6 linked regions of the Mus musculus genome follow. The main gene of each other region encodes a partner of the protein of the gene in region 3 in a complex. Links are inferred from orthologs where the notes say so. Each region holds a gene or a part of one and is shown on either strand. Other genes may lie near its edges. The genes, in order: Ripk3, Ripk1, Casp8, Aim2, Zbp1 and Mefv.

Region 1 (4,021 bases), on a different chromosome or scaffold from region 3:
CAGTAAAGACTGGCCCAGGTGTTGTGCCTCTGAAGGGTAAAGTATGTGGAATCTGAGGAGTGCCAGCCACGGGGTCAGAAGATGTCCTTGCTGGTGTGGCAGGCCCAACTGATGTGTCCTGTGCTTGCCTCTCAGGACATTTTCCAGGAACTGGTCCGGAGGGTTCCTCCAAATGCAGGCGGTCCAGCATTTTAGAAACCATGGTTTCCCTCGGGCAATCCATTTCTGTGCCTCTTTGGCTTGGCTCTCTGGCAGACAAGTTTCTGCCGCTGCTTCTGTGCTGAGACAGATAATGCTTTACCTGTGCAGACAGGGGGACCTTGTTGTCAGGAGCTGGGGCAGCCAAAGTAAACCCCAGTGAAAATTTTCTTGGTCTCTGGAGACTAAGGAGTAGGTTCTGGTGAATGGGAATGACAACCAAGGATTAAATAATGGTGGCCAGTGAAGATAAACTGAATGGTTAAGGGAGCCACTTGTGCCATCTCCCAACAGTTCCTGGATGGGAAGGCAGTGCTAGAAACTCACCTCGGAGACAGCAGCATCTACCTTGTCCTTTACCAGATTGTAAACTTCATTGGTTTTTGGTTCGCAGTCTGAAAGACAACAGCGAGTTGTATATGAGTCGGATTTCTTTCCTTGGAGGAGCTCCCTGCTGAAGACCCAAGCCTACCCTAGTTGCCAGAGATACGGCCAACTCACCCTGGAAGGATGGCCTGTTTTCGGACTGGGAACCCCAGCAATGAATCATTAACTCCTTCAGTTTTTCCAAGCCGGGAGTCTCAGGGCTACCTGGAGGCAGCTCTGTCAGTGGAGGACGACTCTGCCTGTCACACACTGTTTCCCGGATTAGTGAAGTCTTGTCTACCACTGGAGTTGGGGGATAACATAAGGAATTCATGAAATGAGGGGACAGCCCATTCTATCGCGGACAGGAGCAGGGAGAGTCATCCAAGTGAGAGGTGAGGTGGGAAGAGGGCAGTGTGTTAGTGGGTCAGGGTAAAAGGGAGGGCTCCAGGGGGGTTTAGGTGCTTTCGGGTACTCCATTTGGAGTCTTACACTCAGCTTCTCTGCCAGCCAGCACTGCCCACACGAGGATCCCAAAGCTGTACAGACACAAATGGAGGCTTAGATGGCCTCTGGCGAGACTTCTTTCCTGTATCATTCCCTTTAGAAGGGCCCAAATTGGTATAGAGATTTGGAGTGTGTTTGGGGTGGATGGTTTACCTGTAGACATCACTCGCTTTAGAAGCCTTCAGGTTGACATCAAATAACAGCTCTGGGTCCAAGTACGCTAGGGTGCCCCCAGAGTCCCTGGATCCTGATCCTGATCCTGACCCTGACTGGGACCCTCCCTGAAACGTGGACAGGCCAAAATCTGCTAGCTGTAAAGGAAAGGAAAGGGAAGGTATTAGATGAAGGGGGGGGTCAGAGATTTTTCCCTCTCTTGCTCCCCAGAAGATGCAGCAGCCTCAGCTTTTTGGAAGGTGTTATGGAGGACCAGAGGGAAGGTAAAGTCATTGAGAACTTAGCAGGAGATCTGAGTTGCTGATGGGCAGGCCTGAGATAAGTCAGCCTGGGTCCGTGAGGGTGCATTAGGCCTGTGGAACTGAGCCAGGGGGTTAAGAAGGGCGTCTGGTAAGGAGGGTCACCTGGTATGACTAGAAATAAAACTCCTAGTTGGGTCTTGTCATGTGTGTAGTCTTGTATTCAGAGGGACAGGTACTCAACATGGTCCCAAGTCTACACTAGGTTGTAGATGGACTAACCTTGGCGTGGAGCTCTGGATCCAGCAGAATGTTAGAGGGCTTGAGGTCCCGGTGCAGGAGCGGAGGGTTCAAGCTGTGTAGGTAGCACATCCCCAGCACCACTTCCTGCAGCAGGCGACAGAGGAGTGGCCAGGGCCGAGGGCACTCGGGTTGCAGCAGCCCTGCGAGGGAGCCATTCTCCATGAATCTTGTCACCAGAGCCTGCCCGGACACGAAGTCCCACTGGAGGTCCTCAGTGACCCCCAGCAGGAGCAGAACGTTCTCATTACGAAGATTAACCATAGCCTTCACCTCCCAGGATATCTTCTTCCTACACGCCGAAAGGGGGCCAAAATTGGATTGCGCTCTGGAAGACCCCACCCTTGCCCCACTCAGGCTCGTGACCACACTCTGACTACAGCTGGGGTCACTCACGAGTTCACGATCTTGACTGCTACATCATGGTTCCATGTTCTGTGGTGTGCCCGGAACACGACTCCGAACCCTCCTTTACCCACAAACTCCAGCTTCTTCAGTTCTTCACGGCTCACCAGAGGAACCGCTGACGCACCAGTAGGCCTGAGAAAGGTTCTTGTCCGGTAGGGGGCCCATCCCCCAGCCTAGCGCATCCTCTGTCTCCCAAGCTCCGGGATTCCGTGACTGCGCGTGGGCAGCGTAGGCAGCGAGTCTAGCCTCCCCACTGCTGCCCGCCTCACCCCCAGCTTTGTCCCCTGCCTCAGAAAAGGCGTCCTTTGAGTGTGTCCCCGGGCCACCTGTGTGGGTGTGCCGGAGACACAGCTCACTCCCCACTCACCATAACTTGACAGAAGACATCGTCGGGAGCTAGCGGCTTCCTGGAGTTATGTGTGCACAGACGGAGCTGGAAACCCGACGTCTACGGCTCGGAGTGTGGACTGAGAGGAAGGCAGGGTCTGCAAAGGGAACAATCAGTAGGTCAAGGCACGGAGGTTCAGGCCCCGAATTCCGCTTCCCAGGTCGCTCCCCCGGACTTTGAATGAGCGACTTCACAACTTCCCTTTCAAATAAGAGGCTCCTTCTATCTCCGCCCCCTGGGGTGGAGCATTGAAAACTTTGGGGCTATTTCCTGTGCACGTGCCTTGAAACTGCTTCCACCCGAGAAGCGCCCAGGCACTGGGCGTGCCACAAAAGGTGTCCTCACCATCCAGGAACGATTGACTCCCCACGATAGCCAGTCTCTCTTGGACCCCTTAGCTCCACCGCTTGCCAACCACATTTTGATGAAGGGAGGATGGAGATCAGGAGGATTTTATGGTCCTAAGATCACGGAGTAACGCTTCTAGTAAGGGTTGTCTTGGGCCAGGTACACATACTGGCTTCTTAGATCAACCGTGTTTTCTTTTCTATAGAGGAGGAAACCCAAGTACTTAAAGTTTAAATCGCTTGGCCAAGTAAGTATGGGACTAGTTTAGAACCGAGTTCTGCTCCACCAAGGTAGCCCTTATTTTATTTATTTATTTATTTATTTATTTACTTACTTACTTACTTACTTACTTACTTACTTACTTTTGAGACAGGGTCTCTTTTTGGAGCCCTGGTTGATCTGGGACTCGAGTATACAGACCAGGTTGACTCAAACTCACAGAGAGCCATCTGCATCTGCCTCCTGACTAAATGCTGGGATTAAAGGTGTACGCCACCATGCTTGGCTTTCTTATTTATCTTAAAATTTATTTATGTGTGTGCATGACCATGCATGTGGTGAAGGGGTGCATGTCATGGTGTGTGTGTGTGTGTGTGTGTGTGTGTGTGTGTGTAGGTGTTCGACCTTGTTTGAGATAGGGTCAGTTTGTTCTCTGCTGTGTGCATAATGCTATGTGTTAGCCTGTTAATGTCCCAGTATTCTCCTGTCTCTCATCTTGCTGTAGGAACACTGGCATGGTATACATGGGCTACTGTCCCCAATGTCACTTTAGTTGTGGGAATATGAGTTCAGGTCCTCATGCTTGCATGACAAGAATTTTGCCTACTAAGCGGCACACACACACACACACACACACACACACACACACTCCAGCTCAAGTTAGCTTATTCTTCTTGACAATGCCTCTGGGCTATATAAATCTACCTGTGGTGCAGGTAAGGTATGAGGCACGCAGTATGCACTAAAGGACCTCTTGGAATCCCTGCTCAGCAAGAGCAGCTACTAAGTAGGGGTTGTGGAGCTGGAAGGCCCAGGGTCTATGCCAGGGTGTTGTAATGAGGATAGGTGTGCTGGCCCTGCAATCGAGCCACTG
Region 2 (3,500 bases), on a different chromosome or scaffold from region 3:
TTCTATCTGGTTGTTTCTGAATTTAATGTTTTATAACATTGAGTTATATTTAAGTGCAATATTTTTTGAGCCAGATGAGTCTATTCTAAGCCTGAGATGGGGAATATACACCCAAACTCATAGTCAGCTGGGCAGAAGCCTAGGCATCCTAAGTGGGTACCATGTGGTGATAGTCACATGAGACTAAGCTCTTAAATGTGGAATGTCATGATAGCCTGCATAGTGTTAGAAGTGTAAATATATGTAGCATCGGAAAAATGACGCATGACAATCAAAACAATGGGTAAATAAAAGCAAAAAACTTTCTTTTAGAGTTTATGAAGACTGAAGGAAAGCTGCAACATAGTCTGATGCATTCCACATGTATAAATGAGAAATGCATAAGGAGAAAGGAAAGGTTTACATACTTAACTCAGGGTGATAAAATGGCAAACTGGAAAATTAAACCATATGATCAAATAACATATGGATAATATCATGCCTAGAATGTCCTTGAAAACCATGCAAGAAAAAAACACCACAGATGAATCAAACTAAAACTCTAGAACAAGTTTAAGAACCTACAAGAAAATGCTACAGTTTGAATTTTGAACAACCTTCAGTGTATGACCTGGTCCTCAGCCAGCAACACGGTCAGGAGTTGTGGGACTTGTAACAGATGGGGCTTTAGCTATGCATGGTGGCATACCTTTAATCACAGCAACCAGATGGCAGAGGCAGGGGATTTCTGTAAATTTGAGGTCAGCTTGGTCTATACAGTGGGAATGGGTGGCACTCCAGTTCTCTTTTCTCACATAAATACAACAACATGATGCTTTGTACATTCCTGAATGCCTCCTATTGTATCTCTGCTCTTCTCCTTTGGCCTACTTCATACTCCTAGGTAATCTAGGGGATAGGATGGGTGCAGAACGGGCCAAACGCTCATGTCTCCTTCAATTTCCTCAACTACAGGGCTAACCTAAATGGCAGAATTCATTCCTAAGGATACTAATAAGAATGTTAACTAGGGAGGCAAATAAGTGAAAGAAGCTAGAAATGGTTAGGGCAAGTGTTTATCAACAGATGAACACTCACACAAAAACTATCTATAGAGTAGAATCTTATTCTGCAATAAAAAGGAAATTCGGACACATACTACCACATGGATGAACCTTAAAGACTTAGTCTGTAAAACAAGACAGATACAAAACAGAAGTATTGTGCAATTTTGGCTTACATGAGACACTTGGGGAAGTCAAAGTCAACAGAATGGTGACTGCTAAGGCTGGGAAGAGAAGAGAGGAAAGGGGACGCAGAGCTAATGCTTCCCGAGTACAGAGCTGTGCTCTGGCTGAGGAAACTTGGAAATAAATTGTGGTAAATGTTGAAAAAGCAGAATGGATTTCACACCACTGGACAGTATACTTACAAGAGCTAAAATGGAAAGCATTATATGTGCTTCAAAACAGTAACAGTAGCCGGGTAGTGCACACCTTTAATCCCAGCACTCGGGAGGCAGAGGCAGGCGGATTTCTGAGTTCAAGGCCAGCCTGGTCTACAGAGTGAGTTCCAGGACAGCCAAGGCTACACAGAGAAACCCTGTCTCGAAAAGAACAAAACAAAACAACAAAACAAAACAAAACCCAAAACAATAACAGTGCTAATCCCCCGAAACTAAAGGAGGAAATGAAGAAGCCCATGCTTTGGGGACGGGTAGGACCTTTTCATTGACAAGGTGCTTGATATCTATCTAGTCAGTTTGAAGCTACATGTGATGTGGTATTCAACATATGTTTCTAACTGTGATGGCTGATTTTCCTTACCAACTTGATTGGATTTACGGTCGCACTTCTGGGTGACACTAGGGAACACAGTTCTGGGTGTGCCTGTGGGGGTGTGAAGCAGGGAAAGCTCACCCTGAATGTGCGCAGCATTATCCCATGGGCTGAGACCTTGCACTGAATACAAGAGAGCAAATGACTGCCAGCATCTATGTCTGTCTCCTTCCTGGCTCTAGATGCAATGTGGGCAACTGCCTTGTATTGTAGCTACTGTGGCGTCCTGCCATGGTAGACTTTACCCTTAAACTGAGCCAAAATAAACCTTTTCTTTGAGTTGCTTTGTCGTCTATTTTGTCATAGCAATAGGAAAAGTAACTAAATTACCAGTGTCACCTTACTGAAGAGAGTCACTATGTTAGATGCATCCTAAATAGGCACGCAACCCATTCTTACCAAGAAATGTTGGCCTGTCTTCTGGGATCGCCTGCCAGCACCGCTCCATGAGGCTGATGATCTCCCTTGGACAGTACTCAAGGATTTCCTCTACATTTGGCCTGTTCCCAGATTTTATGCAGATCACGAACTGCTCAGTACAGATGACATCTGCAAAGAGGGGTGAACTTCAGTTGGGGCTTTCAGTTACACTTTACTCTCAAGCAGGAAGATGCCAGGACCTGGATAATACTGCTCTTTTGTCTCTCTATCTAGGATATGATTTTTCCATGGCTGTCTCATTCCATAAAGTAACAGTCTTGTGGCAAGGAATTGATGCAGACTACTACAGAAATGGTAGGATGATGTTTTGATTTTGCAGAAGAGAAACAAAATTCAAAACAAAGCTACCTTTTCACAGAACAAACAAACGGGTAAAGTCATGGCATTCTCCCGAGTTCAATACAGAGGCAAATACAGGATGGTCTGAGCTTTAAGAAGCTCAGTTTAAGGAGAGTGACTTGAAATATACATGCTAACTAATACTCTAGAAGTAAGAATGATGGGTTCTGGTAAAAACAATCATGATGAGAACAGTTAAAGTTGCTTATTGTGCCACTCAGTGCAGGTGGTAAGCAACCTGTACTGTGCTCATAAACTTGGCAACTTGTTTGGGGGATGCTACTTTGGAGGTGCTTGTGGTATAAATGCTGGGTCTAACAGGTCTGTCGATATCTTGGTCATGGTCAGAGACTAAGGTTTAAGAGATATCAGCAAAGAGATGGTGATCCCTGATCTACTGGGGTTAGTAATCACGAAGAAGTCACAGAAAGTAGTCCTTCCTTTCCACACTTAACCAAACCGAAGGATGACTTTTCCCCTGTACAAACAATGATTTAGTTACCTTTCCATTCCCAGCTGACTGAACTGTCCACAGTAGATAATGAAAAAGGCTCATTCACAAATAGAATCAAGGTATGGGGTGTATGCCTGGTAGTAAGTTCCTACTCTAGAAGAATAGTGGAGTTTTATAGCAACTCCCAAGCTAAGCTATACTATAAAGTAGTCTACTTACCCCATGAGTTTATTCTAAACTGGGATGACTAATTCAACAAAGGTCTCCTGAGTACCTAATATATTTCAGGCACTCTCTCTCTCTCTCTCTCTCTCTCCCCCTCTCTCTCTCTGTGTATGTGTGTCTATATGTATGTGGTATCTATGTGGGGTGTGTGTATCTGCTGGGTCTAACAGGTCTGTGAATATCTTGATCATAGTCAGAGACTAAGGTTTAAGAGACATCAGCAA
Region 3 (3,978 bases):
TCCTAGTTCGATAGTTTCTACTTACAGCTAAAACAGAACAAAACAAAACAAAACAAACAAACAAACAAACAAAAAAACAAAAAAAACCAACCAACCAACCAACCAAACAAACAAACAAACAAAAAATAAGCCTAAAGTCAAAATCAGGGCTTTCCTACAGCAAACTCCCCAAAGAGGCAAACCCTGGGTCCTTCATTGTGTGAGCAAACCTGTGTACAAACACATAAGCTCCTTGCTGGGAATTAGTTAAAATATTTTCTGGTGTTAAAGAGAAGAAAAAGAAAAGGACTTTGAAACTGTGTTTTCTGCTACCTAAAATAGAATGTAAACTTTCAGAGTAAAGAGCGCCAACTTCACAGCTGAGGGAACTGAATGAGGCGCCCAAAAGCATATGTCCACCCTCGATGTCTGGGCAAAGGTGACACCATCGTACCAGGACCTTTAGCTGGCATTTGATTCTGCCCAGGAACCTGGGCACCATGGAAGCAGCAAAATCAAATCCTGTCTGTGGCCCAGTCCACTCCAGGAGTTACTATAGTTTTCCCAGCATCCTCTATAACCTCTACCCCAGTTCTGGCTCACTGTTTTCTGAGAATTTCCTGTCAGAGACCACGAACTTCCTGTGAGTGCAGCAACTGAAGCTCTCATGGTAATACTTGAACCACATAACAACAGCCTGAAAATCATCAATGAGAAGATACTGTGTAAAGAGGCAATGAACCTCTGTACAGGGGCAATGGGGGTGTGGTCTTGCTGGAAAAAACACATGGAGCTCCCCTATAGGCACTAAGCCCATGAGAGCATAGGATGACACATCACATGGGTCAGTAAATCCGAGGAATGTCAAATAAAGCAAGAAGATGCCCACTTTCTTATTAGAATTTCTTTTAAGTTGGAAGATTAAAAAAAAAGAAAGAAAGAAAAGAAAAGAAAAAGAAAAAAGAGCAACCTGATAGGGTGAGGTGGTCAGGCTATGCAGGCTGCTGGAGAAATCATATTAGTTCCTGGAGTGAACCTACCCACAAACAGAAATTACTGGGCAAAATCAAATAACAGCTAAATGGCCTGCTATGGGGTCACCTTTCTCCCTCCTGGGAAAGAGACATGGGAGACACACAGCCATGACCAGCAACTCCTCTGTGTCCACATACGAGTTCTTGAGTCTTCTTTAAATAGGTTTGTAAGAAACGGGAGCACTAATCGTCCTCATGCTAATTCAATCAATGCCATATTTATTTAAAAAAAGAAAGATTTGTCGATGAGACAACTCAGGAGTTTAAGAGCACTCAATGCTCTTGCAGACCACCTGGGTTCAGTTTCCAGCACCCATATAATGGCTGAAACTGTCTGTAAATCCAGTTCAAGGAATCTGTGCCGCCACCCCCCCCCCCCCCGCCCAGTACCAGGTGCACATACATACATGCAGGCAAAATACTCATACTCATGAAATTAAAATAGAAATAAATAATTTTTTAAAGAATGAAACTGAGACCTAGCCAAGCAGAAGGCACTTAGAGGACTCCCTTTAAAAAGACAAAAAAGAAAAAGAAAAAAAAGAAAGAAAAAAGAAAAGAAAAGAAAAGAAAAGAAAAGAAAAGAAAGGAAGGAAGGAAGGAAAGAAAGAAAGAGAAAGAAAGAGAGAGAGAGAGAGAGAGAGAGAGAGAGAGAGAAAGAAAGAAAGAAAGAAAGAAAGAAAGAAAGAAAGAAAGAAAGAAAGAAAGAAAGAAAGAAAGAAGAAACAGAAATATGACTGTATGATAATTCCTTACAGGTACTTAACAAGCCAGTCACCCTTACAACTGCTTAGCACGTAGAGGAATTACCGGCCTCAGGTCACCTGTAGCCCCCTCCCTCCCTCCTCTCTCATCCCCTCTCTGTGGGGGTTGGGGTGAGGGGGTGGGGGGTTGGTGTTTTAAGTGCAGAGCTAGTGCCCTACGACCCCCCACCCCCTGTACTGCCAGCACTCAGGAGGTGGAAGCAAGGTCGTAAGTTCAAGAAGCCTGAGCTTCTGCAGGAAATCATGAAACCAAAGAGGGACAGAGGGAGGGAGGGAGAGAGGAAGAGGAGAGGGAGGGAGAGGAGAAGGCAAAGAGAAGAAGAGGGAGAGAAAAAGGGAGGGGAGATGTTGGAGGAGAAGGAGAAAGGAAGAGAGAATTTGGGATTAGAGTTGATGGACGTCTGAGTTGGGAAGAGCACGAAAATCGCCGGAGGAAACGCAGCTCAAGCTAGAGGACTCCCCGGAGGATTAACTCAGCTCCAGGTCCTGAGCCAAACTACAAAGAAAGTAAGCCTAAGAAGTCCAATAAAGTTTTCTGGAGAGGCGGCGACGGCACCCCGATGGCTGCATTTCGGGGAGCGCCACGCGAGATCGACACCCACCGGTGGGATCTCGGCCCGCTGGTGGGAAAGGAACCCGACTGCTCTGCAGCACTCACCTGTGGCCGAGTACCTGCCGCGCCGGTCACAACTCCAGCTCGGGCGAGGCCTCCGCTGGCTTGGGCTTTCCGAGCCTCCAGCCCGGGCCGGCGCTCCCCAGAACTGTACTCACTTCCTGTTCCACGCCGGCTCACAGAGGTTTGCTACCGATTCCGAGAAGCTGGACTTTTAAGCACCGAAGTCAGAATGAAAGACAACTGAGAGAACTAGGGCATAGGGGACAGAAATGCCTCCGAATGTTTAGAGGCGTTTGAGTTAATCATTAGAGGTGGCATCCTGGTGCCAGCCCTAGAGGCCATAGGCTGCTTCGCTTTCTGCCCGCCTTAAGAGCTCCCGCCAGTTCTGGAGGACACTTCCTTATTCCCCCAGTCCAACCACACCTCCTTTCACGCAGAAACCCTCTGCTCTAGAAATGTCAGCACTCTCGGAGGTAGGGACAGGAAGATTAGAACAAGCAAGTTCCAGGCTATCCCAGAGACAGTGGAACCAGAGCTAATGGAATGAACGAACGAACACACACACACACACACACACACACACACACACACACACACACAAAGTTTAAAGGAGCCAACTACAAGAAGAAAGTGATTTCACACTGAACCAAACAACCAGCTATGCTGAGGGCCTAGGTCAGATCCATCAGGATCGCTGATTGTTGGTTCAGTCTCTGTGAGTGCCTATGAGGCCAGGTTAGTTGATTCTGTGAGTTTTCTTGTGGTGCCCTTGAGCTCTGATTCCTACAATCCTTCCTCCCCATATCCTGTAGGATTCCCCAAGCTCTGCCTATTGTGTGGCTGTAGGCCTCTCTGATGGCGACTATGTTAGATTTCTGTCTACAAGTATGGCAGAATATGATTAGAAAACATTTCATGCTTTTTTTTTTTTTTTTTTTTTTTTTTGGTCATGTTCAGTTCTATCTTAGCTGTCTGGGGCATCCAGCCTCTTGTTCCTGACCTCCATGAATTCAGTGTCAGAGGTGGCCTCCCTCTTGTGGCACAAGTCTCAAGAGAGACTAGTAATTGGATGGAGACTCCCACAAGTTCTGTGCCATCTTTTCTCCAGCACATCCTGCAGGCAGGATAAATGGTAGGTCAGAGGTTTGGGGTCTGAGTTGGTGTCCCAGTCTCTCCACTGGAAGGCTTGCCTGGCTACAGCAGACAGCTCCAAACCCCTCATTACTAGGAGTCATAGCAAGGGTCACCCTGATAGGTTTCTAGCCCCCACATTCCAGTCTTCTCTGCCATACTCTCTCCCTCCATCCTCGCCCAACCTGATCCCTCTGCTCCCATCCCCACATGCCCCCAGTTCCAATCCCATGATACCTACTCTATTTCTCCCTCCTAGGGAGATGGCTCCTTGTTACTTAGCCTCTCTGGGTCTGTGGATTGTAGCATGATTATCTTGTAATTTATAGCTAATGTCTGCTTATAAGTGAGTACGTACCATGCTTGTCTTTCTGGGTCTGAGTTACCCCACTCAGGATAGGTTTTTGTTTTTGTTTTTGTTTTCTGGTTCCATCCATTTGCTGGCAAATTTCAT
Region 4 (3,500 bases), about 110 Mb from region 3:
TTAAACTGTGCGTTTAAAACTTTTACAAAGAAAAAATCTGTCTCCGTGGCCACTGTTGCATGAAATATCTCTTGTCTTCCTTCCTGAGTCTCACACTCAAAGGGATTTATAGCTTTCAGCACCGTGACAACAAGTGGATCTTTCTGTAAATCTTCTCTGATGGCTTCCTGTTCTGCCACCATCTGTTTCTTCTGAGGCTGTGACAAGAGAGAAAAGATGTTAGCTAGGGTCCACACTTACCCAAGCAGCCTTCATTCACAGTAAAACCCCAGGAAGAAAGAAGCTGAATTGAAGGGAAAATGGAGATAACGTTAGGAAGAGATTGGAGACCTAAAATTATCTAAGGGATATTTTGTGTTCTATGTTCAGACGGGGCAGTTTTACTGACTCTGGAGACAAAATTCCTGAATCAGAATCCTTCTTTGCTATGAAAAGTGTGTGTCAGAATCCTGAAACACTGCAAGGGGCTGAATCTGACTCTGTCTTCTTGTAATTCTACTACAGCATATTTTCCCCTCCAACTCTGAGCATGTAATTGACTCTTGCATCAGAGTGAGGAAGCTCAGTGATGTGCGCAGAGCTCCTGCACATTCCCAGGAATATTCCTGTGCATAATAGAAATGCAGATCATTCAATGTGAGGAAAGGAAGAGATCTCGGGATGAGATCCTACAGATGAATTAAAAGGAGATTAAAAATTAGAGTCAACTCTACCTTGGTAAGATTACTCTTAGAAGAATGAATTATTCTTGGAATGAATAAATTCTCATCTTGCCATTTTGTTCTTCCAGATTAAGAAATTAAGAGCAATAGGAGATAGTGTGTCTGTGTACAGGAATGTGCATGTATGTGTGTTTGCCCACGCATGTGTATGTTTTAGAAGCATATATATTAAGGCTTACATAAATTACATCTTATTATTTATAGTTATAAATCATCAAAATCTTTTAAATACCAAAAAATGGATTTTGTCAAATAAGGTCTTATAATACAACATATAAAAATTAAATGTTTTATAGGAATAATATAACAAACTATTTTAATTGATTTAACAAAGGATAAAGTATAATGCATTCCTTATTGGATAAATGCACAAATAACCCACATAACCTGGGATTAGTTTTTTGTTTAGTTTTGTTTTGTTTATTTTGTTCTTCCAAATTAAGAAATTAAAAATAATAAGAGACTGTTCATGTGCGCATTTCTGTATGTGACTGTGTGTTTGTTCATGCATGTGTATGTATCAGAAACAATACTATTTTAAAAGCAATTAACAATCCATAACTAAAGGAGACCCTGAGAGAAAGAGAGAGGCACAGAGCACATGCTTTGAACTGGATCTCTGCAAAACCTTGGGATGTGAGCCTGTGAGCTGATTTGATGAACGGCATCCCACTCTCAATTTGATCCAAAGCAGGAAAGTATCAAGTTCACTGAGAACTATTTTAGAATTTGTCTTCAGTCCTAGGCATTTTACTGGATTTTTCAGAGACTATACAATATGCATTTTTATGGGTGCTTACCAAAATGTAACATTTAAACTTGGGTATTGTTTTCTTCACAATTCTGGACATTTCTGAGCCAAACACAGAAGAAATGAGTGGGTGCTCTGGATAGAATGGTGTGCACAGCCTAAGCTTCTCTATGAAGTTTCATGACACTTTCTTTACAGAAAATGAAATTGCAGATGCTTGGTGGATTTTGTGATGGATCCCTATATGCTGCTCTGTCAGGACTAAGGGACAAGGACTCTCTTCCAGTTTTATCCCCTCTGCTACAAAGAGTCATTTCATGACAATAAGAGCAGGCACATCGTGACTAAAGGGACTGTGTTTTCCAACTACGTTGCAACAATCCTGAAGGGCATCCCTGGACCCTAAGTCTCCTGTGGAACAGGTCAAATTCTTTGCTGCAGTTCCATTGAACTAGAAACTTTCCCCATCCCCTCATCCTAAACCTCCTCACAAGAACTGATGCTGAGAGCAACCTGAAACATACTCACTGAAAAAGGTCCCTGTCAGAGTTTTCGTCAAAGAGAGGTTAACATAGCAACAGGTTATCATGTCCAGAGCATGGCAGAAATTAGAAGCTTCCTGGGCATGGACGCTGATGAATAGAAGTGATTTTTCTTTTTGTAATGCAGACATATCTCTCCTATCGTAGCCCGGTTTTCCTGATTTGTATGCTCAGAGATAAAGAACAGAAGGCTTCGAGTGCTGGAGGAGAGGGATAGTGATAAGAGTGTCACTAGCCACCTTAGCTTGAGGACAGACTTCTGTAGCAGCCTGTTCCTTAAAGTCATTGTCACTGCGGGTGGCAGAGGCAGCAGAGCAGTTTTCAGCTTGACTTCTATTTTCTACCTTCTGTGTTCCTCTCTTCTTTGTATTGGTCATGAGTTTACGTTCAGCTGAAGGAGAAAAAAAAAGGAGGAGGGTGAGAAGAAGAAAAGGAGAAGGTGAAGGGGAAGGGGAAGAAACAAGTAACAGATACATTAAAATCTATGAGTAAGCATGGCTGAGAATTAGAATTCTCGTTAGAATTCTAATGTTAATTAAAATATCATTAAAATATCGTTAATTTTTAAGAAGAAAATTAGAAGGGAGACAACAGCAGGGTGATAGATTAGGAGTTTCCCATCTTCAGGTCCTCACAAGAACATGACACAGGACTATGCACAGACAAGGCACCTTGGGGAAATCTCAGAAGGTAACAGAGGTGCCATCTAGAACATTAAGGCTGAGAAAAGTTCCTCTAGAGGTAGAGAGGAATGTTTTCATTTTAACTGTTTTCTCCTTCCCAAAATGGGAAAGTACCATGTAGAGAGAAGCCCACAGCCCTACACCTCCTAAGGTGAGGATTAAGGACAAGGAGTGTGCATGTGGCACTCCGGTAGTATGCAGGCATTGTAGAAGGCTCACTCTCATCTCATCCCACCCCATGAGAACTGTTGAGTACATTGGCAAGACTAGAATAATGGAAGTCAGTTAGAAATAAACAAAATAAAATGGGTCTTCCTGTGACTGATATGTGGTCTGCCTTGTGGAGTCACCCAATCAAAGAGAACATCCAATAGCATCTTTGCTAGCTTTGAATCATAGCCAACTTTCCACTTGTCTTACTACACTGTAAAAGGCATACACATACGCACATGTGTGGAGCACAGAATCCGAATCTGCCTGAACTCCACTGTGGAATGCTGACCCCACCCAACCTGAGAGCAATGTATCAGGCTTCCTGAAGATTATAGGTAATTTCATGCACACAGATGTCTTTGAAAGGAATCATCTGACCTAACCCAGCCACAGCCTATTGAGAAAATCACCCTACTCAGCCCCAGTGTTTGAAAAAAAATAAAAAGGCTTCTTGTTAAAGGCAATTGTGTCCGATATTTCTTTGGAGTAGAGGACCTGGTCTCCTCAAGCCTGGTGACCAAGAAGTGATGGGACTGGGATGAGTTTTGAGCTTAGCCTGTGGTTCAGCATGAGCCCAAACTGGGGGGAA
Region 5 (4,211 bases), on a different chromosome or scaffold from region 3:
AAATAAATAAATAAATCTTTTGTTTTTTAACATTTCTTTATTATGTGTAGAGTACTCTGGAGGAGTCAAGTGGCATTTTCACAGGGGCTACCTAAGACCATTAGAAAGCACAGATCTTTACATTATGTTTCATAACAATAGCAAAATTATGGTTACAAAGTGTTGATGAAAATCATTTCTATGGTGGGGATCACAACGACGTGCAGAGTTAGGATGGTTGAGAGTCACTGACCTAGGAGGCTCTGACTCCTTCCAGGCAGGTCAGCTAATGTAAGGAAGGGAAGGGAAGGGAAGGGAAGGGAAGGGAAGGGAAGGGAAGGGAAGGGAAGGGAAGGGAAGGGAAGAGGAAAATGCTGAAGAAAGGAGTGAGGAGGGCATGTCCTGAAGCCCTGCTAAGTCTGGAGCCACCTTGGTTAGGGACCAAGCAAGACCCCCTGGGCAAGAGGCGGTTGGTGAGCATGCGCCACCTAGTGGTCAGTTTTCAAATGGCGCCTCTAGGGAACCTGGGCAGTGTCCCTCAATGGGGCCAGCTGAGAGTTCATTTAAAAGCGACTTTATTTATTTTGGGTGGCAACAGGCAGTGCGGTTTCTGTTTTCCTTGGCTGGCTCTGCAGGCACTGTTTTTCCTCCCTGGAAGTCATAAAAAAATCACTTGGAAATGTTAATATTTTCCCATGCACAGGCCCATCCTAAGCTGTGTAGACCTGGCCTGGTCTTGGTCCCTTGGTGACCCTTTCAGGTTCTGTAAGGTGAAGCTGACTGGGGACCTGCCACCTCCTGCTTGCTTGGCAGACATCCTCCAGGCACATCACCTCCTTCTAGTCTCCAACGACTGCTGCTGTCTTGCCCTGTGCACCAGTGACCTGCACACCAGACAGGTACAGAGGTCCCAAGATCATGGCCTCTGCACTCACCCCACCTCCACCCTGTAGCCGGGACCCAGATTCTGGGATTATTGTGAGCTGAGTGGTGGACACAAGGCCATCTCTGTGAGCCCCGATCCCCTCTTACGTAATATGGAACAGAGAAGTGTCTGAGCTGTTCACGGGTCACTGAGAATTTATGAAAGTGAGAAAAGGGGCTCTTTTTCTAGAAGGTATGTGAGTAGATGGTACTACACCTGCCTGTGGGCATGTGGGGGAGGCACAGTAGGTGCCTTTTCCTAGATCTATCTTCCTCCTCACAGGGCTTTCACAGAGTTCTCTTCAGATAGAGCTCTCCCGGTGGGAGACCAGTCTCCACCCCAGAGGCCAAGACTCCTCTCTTCTCTGTCACACAGTCATCCAACTCCAGCTTGCTCACCCACCCCGATTTCAATTTCGATTTCGACACCCTTTCTTTCCGAGAACCACACCAAAGTTTCATTTTCTCTTTCTTTGAAAAGCTGGAGGGCGGGGAGGGGATGGAGCCAGATGGGTATTTGTTTCCGGGATGGTAACAGCTGGTGCCTGCAGGTCCAAGCAGCCATTCTTGCCTGTGGATTCAGAGCCCCAGGCCTGACCACAGTGCCAGAAACTGCCACCCCCTGCCCTAAAGGAGCCCCAAGGCTGCTGTGAGCATGGCAGAAGCTCCTGTTGACTTGAGCACAGGAGGTAAGCTAAACCTCTTCCTTCACCTCGCGTGGGTCCCAGCTGATGTTTCTAAGGCTCCTAGCTCTTTCCTTGGCCCAGACAGCAACAGGATTCTGAGGTCACCACAGGGAAGTCAGCTTGCTTCAAGGATCCTGTGCCCCAGATCCTTCATGTCACCTTACCTCATTGATGAGGTCACCAAGGCCTGTGACAGCCCTCGGGCTCCGAACTGTCATTTCAAGAGAGGACTTTGCTTTGATAAGGAGATGTGACTTTGATTTTACATTCAAGCTCTTCTCCTGCCCTATTTGAACCCTTGCTGAGACTACATACCCTGTCTAGGGGCTTCTGGGCTATGGGAGGCTGCGGGGTGCAGGGCTGTGTGAGGCTGCCATGCTGTGGGCAGGATTTAGTTCACTGCTTTTCTTCTTCATCTTTTGAAAAGCACTTCATTTTTGTTTTTTGTTTGTTTGCTTTTGTTTGGTTTGGTTTTTTCGAGACAGGGTTTTTCTGTGTAGCCCTGGCTGTCTTGGAACTCACTCTGTAGACTAGACTGGCCTCGAACTCAGAAATCCGCCTGCCTCTGCCTTCCAAGAGCTGGGATTAAAGGCGTGCGCCACCACGCCCAGCTGAAAATCATTTCTTATTTCAACATACTAGAAGTGGTTGCTCAAAAGCTATCAGGGAGGAGCCAAGCAAAGACCAGAACTAAGGTCACCTGGTTCCCATGGTTTCCTTTCACTGCTAACCTTTCCAGCCTGTCACCTGCAGCCTTCTGCTTTCCAAAGTCCCACTTTCAGACCCTGCAACCAGTCCTTCAAGTTCACCCTTTGGAGAAGGCTTGGCCTGCCTTGTGTGTCCCTAGGGGCCAGTGGGAGAAAGGAATGAAGGAGAGGCCACTACAGGGCACACTCCCCAGCAAAGGTTTTACAAGGCAAGGCAAAGCCAAGTCAGGAATAGATGCTCAGTGCTATAATCCTTCCCCCAACACCCTCCTCCTCCTCCACCCCCACCCCCAGCCCCACCCTGGGGTGGGGCTGTGGCTGAAGCAGGAGGATTGCTATGAGTTCCAGGCTAGCCTGAGCTAGACTTTGTCACAAGAGGAAAGAAAGAAAGGTAGAGGCAGACTCATGGATAAGCAGACAGACGTGCTGGAAGGGACATGAGGTGGAACTTGGGGATCCTCAGGGTTAGACACGGAGGAGGAGGCTGGGTAGCTAGCAGGGGTGGAGGGCTCTGGGAGGAAGCCTTCTGGAGTTGGCAGGCAGGCATCTGGAAGATGACATTGAGGCTGGGTTAAAGAGCTGAGCTGGGTTTTCAGGACTCCTGCTGTATCAGGCAAGGGAGGAGAGACCCATTTTTCTTATCTGCTGGGCTCCTGGGCTGGGAACACCCATGCCTTCGATGTGGGTGCTGAGCAGGAGAGAAAGGGACTCCTGGCCAGGCTGAGAGGCCATCAAGACACCAAATAGGGACTTCAGGGCTAGACTTGGTTTCCTGCCTCTCCCTTTTGTTCCATCGTCCGAGAGTTGGGGGTTCCTACCTGTTTGGGTTCCACATAGTACACAGGGCAGGCTGTATACTATTTTACCATTTGGCCACCCAGACATCTAGTTGTGGGGTGAGGGGCCACCTGACTGACACCCTTGCCTCTGGGTGGTGTCGTCGTTCCTGTCTGCTTGGCCCAGGTCACAGGTGCCTTCTCTGCTCTGGGGACTAGGCTTAACTCAGCTCTTCTCTGGGTTCCTCCCCAGACAATCTGGAGCAAAAGATCCTGCAGGTGTTGAGCGATGACGGCGGCCCTGTGAAGATTGGCCAGCTGGTGAAGAAATGCCAAGTGCCCAAGAAAACCCTCAATCAAGTCCTTTACCGCCTGAAGAAGGAGGACAGAGTGTCCTCCCCAGAGCCTGCAACATGGAGCATAGGCGGGGCTGCTTCTGGAGATGGGGCTCCTGCAATCCCTGAGAACTCCAGTGCCCAGCCTAGCCTTGGTAATCTGTCATGTAGGCAGAGCAGACCCCCCACACACACTAAGCTCTCCTCCCCCCTACACGCACATTAAGAGCCACGAGGCTTGGCTTCAAATCTGAGCTTGGCCATTCCCTCTCTGTCTCTTGATTTCTTCTGGCCAATGGAGCCAAATGTGAAGCTTAGGGCTTATACATAGTAGGTGTGCAATAGACATTAGCAGTAGTGAAGACACACTGCAGGCAATAGTTACACGGATAGTGAGGGCTGATGGGTAAGGATTCACTCAGAGCCTTCAGGTGACTTTGAGAGCCATCAAGAAGAAAGGACCCAGAGTTCCAAGAGCTGATGCGGTCCCCAGGGCCACCTTGCCTTCATTCAGCTCCAGATAGAGACAGGAAAGGAAGCAGCCTTGGGACCTCAACCTTCAGCAGACAGTATCTGTGACCCAAACAGACAGGAGGTCCTGGGTCCCAGCCTAATGTGCTGCCCCCAGCTCCCCTGAGAAATCATTCCCCATGTTTAGTGGAGCAGGGTGTCTCCCATCTCCAACGGACACATCCTTCTTCCAGACTCAAGACCCTAAAGAGATGTAGGTGCAACTTCAGGGGGCCCTGGTCTGCAGCTCAGTGCACCCCCATGGGCCTCTCCAGACCGCTGAAGCTCCACAGG
Region 6 (4,068 bases), on a different chromosome or scaffold from region 3:
TTTCTGTTGTCGTGATCCATACCAAAAGCAATTTGGGAAGGAAAGGGTTTGTTTCATCTTCCAGGTTACAATGCATGGTCAAAGGAAGCCAAGACAGGAAATAAAGCAAGAGCTTGAGGCAGAAATGCTGGAGGAGCAGTGATTGGCTTGCTCTTAGGCTCACATTCTCTCTCTCTCTCTCTCTCTCTCTCTCTCTCTCTCTCTCTCTCTCTCTCTCTCTCTCTCTCTCTCTCTTTTGCTGTTCTGAAACTCACTTTGTGGACCAGGCTGCCCTCCAACTCACAGAAATCCACCTGCCTCTGTCTCTCAAGTGCTGGTTGTAAAGGTGTGTGCCTCCAGCACCACCTGGATTCAGTCACATTTATTGTACATGCCAAAGTCACCTGCTTAGGATGGTATCACCCCCAGTGGGCTTGGCACTCCTCTATTGGATATCAATCAGGAAAAAGCCCCACATACATGCCTACAGGCCATTCTGATGGAGGCATTTTTTCAATTGAGGTTCCCTCTTCCCAAGCATGTCAGATTGACAATCAATGTCAGCCTTCACAGATATCTAGGGTATTTAGAATGATAGATAATAATGCTTTTTATTTATTCTCCAATGGTTAAGACAAAAGTAAAGGAGGCCACAGAAAATTTAACCCAGAAGCAGTTAGTGGACCTAGGAAGCCAGGGCCAAGTTGGCTGTGGGAATAGATGCATGAGAATGCTGGCAACAAAGGTGGTCCGCAGGTCCCGTGTGAACACTTTACGTTGCTGGATAGACTAGACATGGACCAGACAGACTGGACATGCATTGCAGTACCTTTCTGGCTTCTGCTTTCTTGAGAAGGCCCAGGCAAAGCCTATAGGGATTATTTGCTGTTTGTTCCTTCCCCTGCCATTGGCCCTGGAGGTCTATAAACCTCAAGAGTCCAAAGAGAGCAGTTGGCCAGAGGGGACCAACTCCACGTAAGATCATCTCCCTCTTCCACAGCCTAGGGTCCTGAGAGCAAGCAAGAGCTCAGGAGCAGCTGGAAGGTCTGGCTGTCAATCCCAGAGCTACCCTTAGAGTCTGGCCTGCCTGTTGTTTAATCAGGACATAGGCTGGCAAGGTGGAGACCTCCCCACTGGAAAAGACTCTGAATCCTCAAAGAAAGTATGCAGCAGGCTAGACCCTGGACACGCCCTCATTTTTACTCTCAGTTCCCACCAAAGCTGATGTGCTTCCTGCGCCTTGTCCGTTATTTCACAAGCTATTTCTTGCTTGTTCTCAAGTTGCACGAGAGAGGTCATTATCGTTTGCCAGAAGCCACATAGCTGGCTGCAGTCCCTCCTGGCCCGCACCATGGCCAAGACCCTTGGTGATCATCTGCTAAACACCCTGGAGGAGCTGCTGCCCTATGACTTTGAGAAGTTCAAGTTTAAGCTACAGAACACCAGCCTGGAGAAGGGCCACTCTAAGATCCCCCGGGGCCATATGCAGATGGCCAGGCCAGTAAAGCTGGCCAGCCTTCTGATAACCTACTACGGGGAGGAGTATGCTGTAAGGCTGACCCTGCAGATCCTGCGGGCCACCAACCAGCGCCAACTAGCAGAGGAGCTTCGCAAAGCCACAGGCACAGGTAAGTTGCCAAGCCTCTTCCCAGTGGGGATGGATGCTAGCTACTGGTGGTGGATGAGAGGAATGCTCAGACACTAGCTAAGGGTTAGAAAGCCCCTGTCCACTTCAGTCCGAGTAGTGTGAATCTAGCATGCCTCATCCTTCTCTCTGGCCCTTGTAACCTGTTTAGTGAAGCTCCCAGGCTCCCCCCCCACCCCCCAAGACATTAATAATAAAAACTGATATTTCAGCTGTGGGTGAGACTCAGGACAGGTGGATCATGAATGGAGCAAAACCTAGAGAAGTCTTTACTCCATGTTTTCAAGTAATAAGCAAGCCCAGACTATCATCAGGTTAGCAGAAAAGGCTTGAAATTCAACCATACTCACATGTCTGAGAATCTCATTAACCACCCAATTTCAATTGGAGTTCTTCCTTGGGATACTTTACAAGGGTATTTAAACATTCTTTGCTTTTAATGAAAGGTTTCTTCAAATGAAAACCTAAGTTGTTAATCATGGGTTATCTTCATTATGTAGACTTTGAAATTAAACCTTATCTGTCAATATCCTGAAATTGCAGGCAAGTTTGCTTGCTGTTTTTGTTTTTGTTATTTTTTTGGCTTTGATTTCTAGACAGGGCCTCACTATATAGACTACACTTGCTTCAAACTCTAGAGATGCTCCTGCCTCTGTGTCTGAGGTTAGAAACTACACCACCATACCTGTTCCAACGAGTTTCCTTTCTTTTTAAAAATTAATTAATTCATTTAAAGATTTATTTATTTATTTTATGTATATGAGTACAGCATTGCTCTCTTCAGACACACCAGAAGACGGCATCAGATCTCATTACAGATGGTTGTGGGTCACCAACCATGTGGTTGCTGAGAATTGAACTCAGCACCTCTGGAAGAGCAGTCAGTGCTCCATCTCTCCAGTTCCCTCAACTTGTTTTCAAACACCATCTACGTTTACATTTATGACTTGAGGTTTTCTTCAGTTTGTGCCATGATTGAAAATGATTCATTTCTATATGTTCCTTTTTAAATTAAATTTATGTGTGTGGGTGTTTTGTCTGGATATGTGTGTGTACCACTTGCAATCTTGATGTCCACAAAAGCCAGAAGAGGGAATCAGATTCCCTGGATTTGGAGTTACAGATGGTTGTGAGCTACTGTGTGGATTCTGGGAACTGAATCTGGGGGCTGTAGAAGAGCACCCCAATGCTTTGAACTGCTGAGCCACCTCTCTGTCTCTCCAGGCTCCTATTTTAATTTTACTTTGCTTATGTATTTTGTGTCTGTCTGCATATGTAAGTGAGTGTTAGTGTGCTCTGGCATAAAGGTCAGAGGACAACTTGAAGGAATTGATTCGTTCCTCTGTGGTTCTGGAGGCTGAGCTTGTTGGCAAGTGCCTTTACTTACTGAGCTGGTTGCTTTCATCCCTTCCTATTTGCTTTGCTTTATAAGTCAAATGTCACAGGTACAGTCATGCATGCATCTATAACAGTAACCCAGTTTTTATTTACTATGTATTTTATGGTTCTGTGTAATGGACATCTGTTGTCTAGAATGTTCAGTTCTTTGCTTTTATTAACTTCTAAGGAGTTTCTCCCTTCCTCCAACCCCAGCCTTGAATATAGCACAGCTTCATGACTGTATCTTATTGTCTTTCTAGAACATTTAATTGAAGAAAATAGAGTTGGTGGTTCTGTCCAGTCTTCTGTAGAGAATAAAGCCAAGAGTGTGAAGGTACCAGATGTCCCTGAAGGTGATGGGACACAGCAAAACAATGATGAATCAGACACCCTTCCATCCAGCCAGGCTGAAGTGGGGAAGGGACCCCAGAAGAAGTCACTGACCAAAAGGAAGGATCAGAGGGGCCCCGAGAGCCTGGACTCACAGACCAAGCCATGGACAAGGAGCACAGCGCCTCTCTATAGGAGAACCCAGGGCACCCAGTCCCCAGGGGATAAGGAGAGCACAGCAAGTGCCCAGCTCCGCAGGAATGTCAGCTCTGCAGGGAGGCTTCAAGGACTTTACAACAATGCCCCAGGGAGGAGAGAAAGCAAGAAAGCCGAAGTGTATGTATATTTGCCTTCAGGAAAGAAGCGACCCAGGAGTCTTGAAATTACCACTTATTCAAGAGAAGGAGAACCCCCAAATTCAGAAGTTCTTCCAACTCAAGAGGAAACAAGAAATGGGAGTCTCATTCGCATGAGAACAGCTACTCTGAATGGAAGGACTACGGGGGCTTTAGAAAAGGGCACAGGGATTCCAGAGCATTCCATGGTGCTGGATGAAAAAACATTCAGAAACATGTCTTCCAAAACATCGTTGATTGGGGAGGAGAGATGCCCTACATCATGGACGGAAAATGGAAATGGGAGTCCAGAAACCACAGAGTCCTCGGGAGAGACGGCTGGCAGCATACTCTCTGATCCAGAAGTGCCTTTGTCACTATGTGAAAAACCAGCTAAAA

Evidence for each region.
Region 1: Casp8 (region 3) and Ripk3 share a complex: the UniProt entries of both Homo sapiens proteins name them as parts of the AIM2 PANoptosome complex. The link is inferred for Mus musculus from reciprocal best matches to the Homo sapiens genes CASP8 and RIPK3.
Region 2: Casp8 (region 3) and Ripk1 share a complex: the UniProt entries of both Homo sapiens proteins name them as parts of the AIM2 PANoptosome complex. The link is inferred for Mus musculus from reciprocal best matches to the Homo sapiens genes CASP8 and RIPK1.
Region 4: Casp8 (region 3) and Aim2 share a complex: the UniProt entries of both Homo sapiens proteins name them as parts of the AIM2 PANoptosome complex. The link is inferred for Mus musculus from reciprocal best matches to the Homo sapiens genes CASP8 and AIM2.
Region 5: Casp8 (region 3) and Zbp1 share a complex: the UniProt entries of both Homo sapiens proteins name them as parts of the AIM2 PANoptosome complex. The link is inferred for Mus musculus from reciprocal best matches to the Homo sapiens genes CASP8 and ZBP1.
Region 6: Casp8 (region 3) and Mefv share a complex: the UniProt entries of both Homo sapiens proteins name them as parts of the AIM2 PANoptosome complex. The link is inferred for Mus musculus from reciprocal best matches to the Homo sapiens genes CASP8 and MEFV.

Annotation. Positions count from the first base shown.
Region 1 is NC_000080.6:55,786,058-55,790,078, forward strand, and holds the start of Ripk3 (receptor-interacting serine/threonine-protein kinase 3), read right to left. Parts: upstream 2,801-4,021; 5' UTR 2,580-2,800; coding exon 2,560-2,579; intron 2,406-2,559; exon of another isoform or gene 2,325-2,405; coding exon 2,181-2,324; intron 2,077-2,180; coding exon 1,767-2,076; intron 1,383-1,766; coding exon 1,225-1,382; intron 1,104-1,224; coding exon 1,057-1,103; intron 960-1,056; exon of another isoform or gene 868-959; coding exon 700-867; exon of another isoform or gene 594-699; coding exon 526-593; intron 302-525; coding exon 1-301. UniProt on the Homo sapiens protein: Serine/threonine-protein kinase that activates necroptosis and apoptosis, two parallel forms of cell death. Necroptosis, a programmed cell death process in response to death-inducing TNF-alpha family members, is triggered by RIPK3 following activation by ZBP1.
Region 2 is NC_000079.6:34,015,863-34,019,362, reverse strand, and holds part of Ripk1 (receptor-interacting serine/threonine-protein kinase 1), read right to left. Parts: intron 2,367-3,500; coding exon 2,217-2,366; intron 1-2,216. UniProt on the Homo sapiens protein: Serine-threonine kinase which is a key regulator of TNF-mediated apoptosis, necroptosis and inflammatory pathways.
Region 3 is NC_000067.6:58,794,196-58,798,173, reverse strand, and holds the start of Casp8 (caspase-8), read right to left. Parts: upstream 2,801-3,978; 5' UTR 2,436-2,800; intron 1-2,435. UniProt on the Homo sapiens protein: Thiol protease that plays a key role in programmed cell death by acting as a molecular switch for apoptosis, necroptosis and pyroptosis, and is required to prevent tissue damage during embryonic development and adulthood.
Region 4 is NC_000067.6:173,458,604-173,462,103, reverse strand, and holds part of Aim2 (interferon-inducible protein AIM2), read right to left. Parts: intron 2,407-3,500; coding exon 2,255-2,406; exon of another isoform or gene 2,002-2,254; intron 198-2,001; coding exon 1-197. UniProt on the Homo sapiens protein: Sensor component of the AIM2 inflammasome, which mediates inflammasome activation in response to the presence of double-stranded DNA (dsDNA) in the cytosol, leading to subsequent pyroptosis.
Region 5 is NC_000068.7:173,216,123-173,220,333, reverse strand, and holds the start of Zbp1 (Z-DNA-binding protein 1), read left to right. Parts: upstream 1-1,411; 5' UTR 1,412-1,558; coding exon 1,559-1,592; intron 1,593-3,325; coding exon 3,326-3,562; intron 3,563-4,211.
Region 6 is NC_000082.6:3,715,325-3,719,392, reverse strand, and holds the start of Mefv (pyrin), read left to right. Parts: upstream 1-1,268; 5' UTR 1,269-1,330; coding exon 1,331-1,607; intron 1,608-3,264; coding exon 3,265-4,068. UniProt on the Homo sapiens protein: Involved in the regulation of innate immunity and the inflammatory response in response to IFNG/IFN-gamma.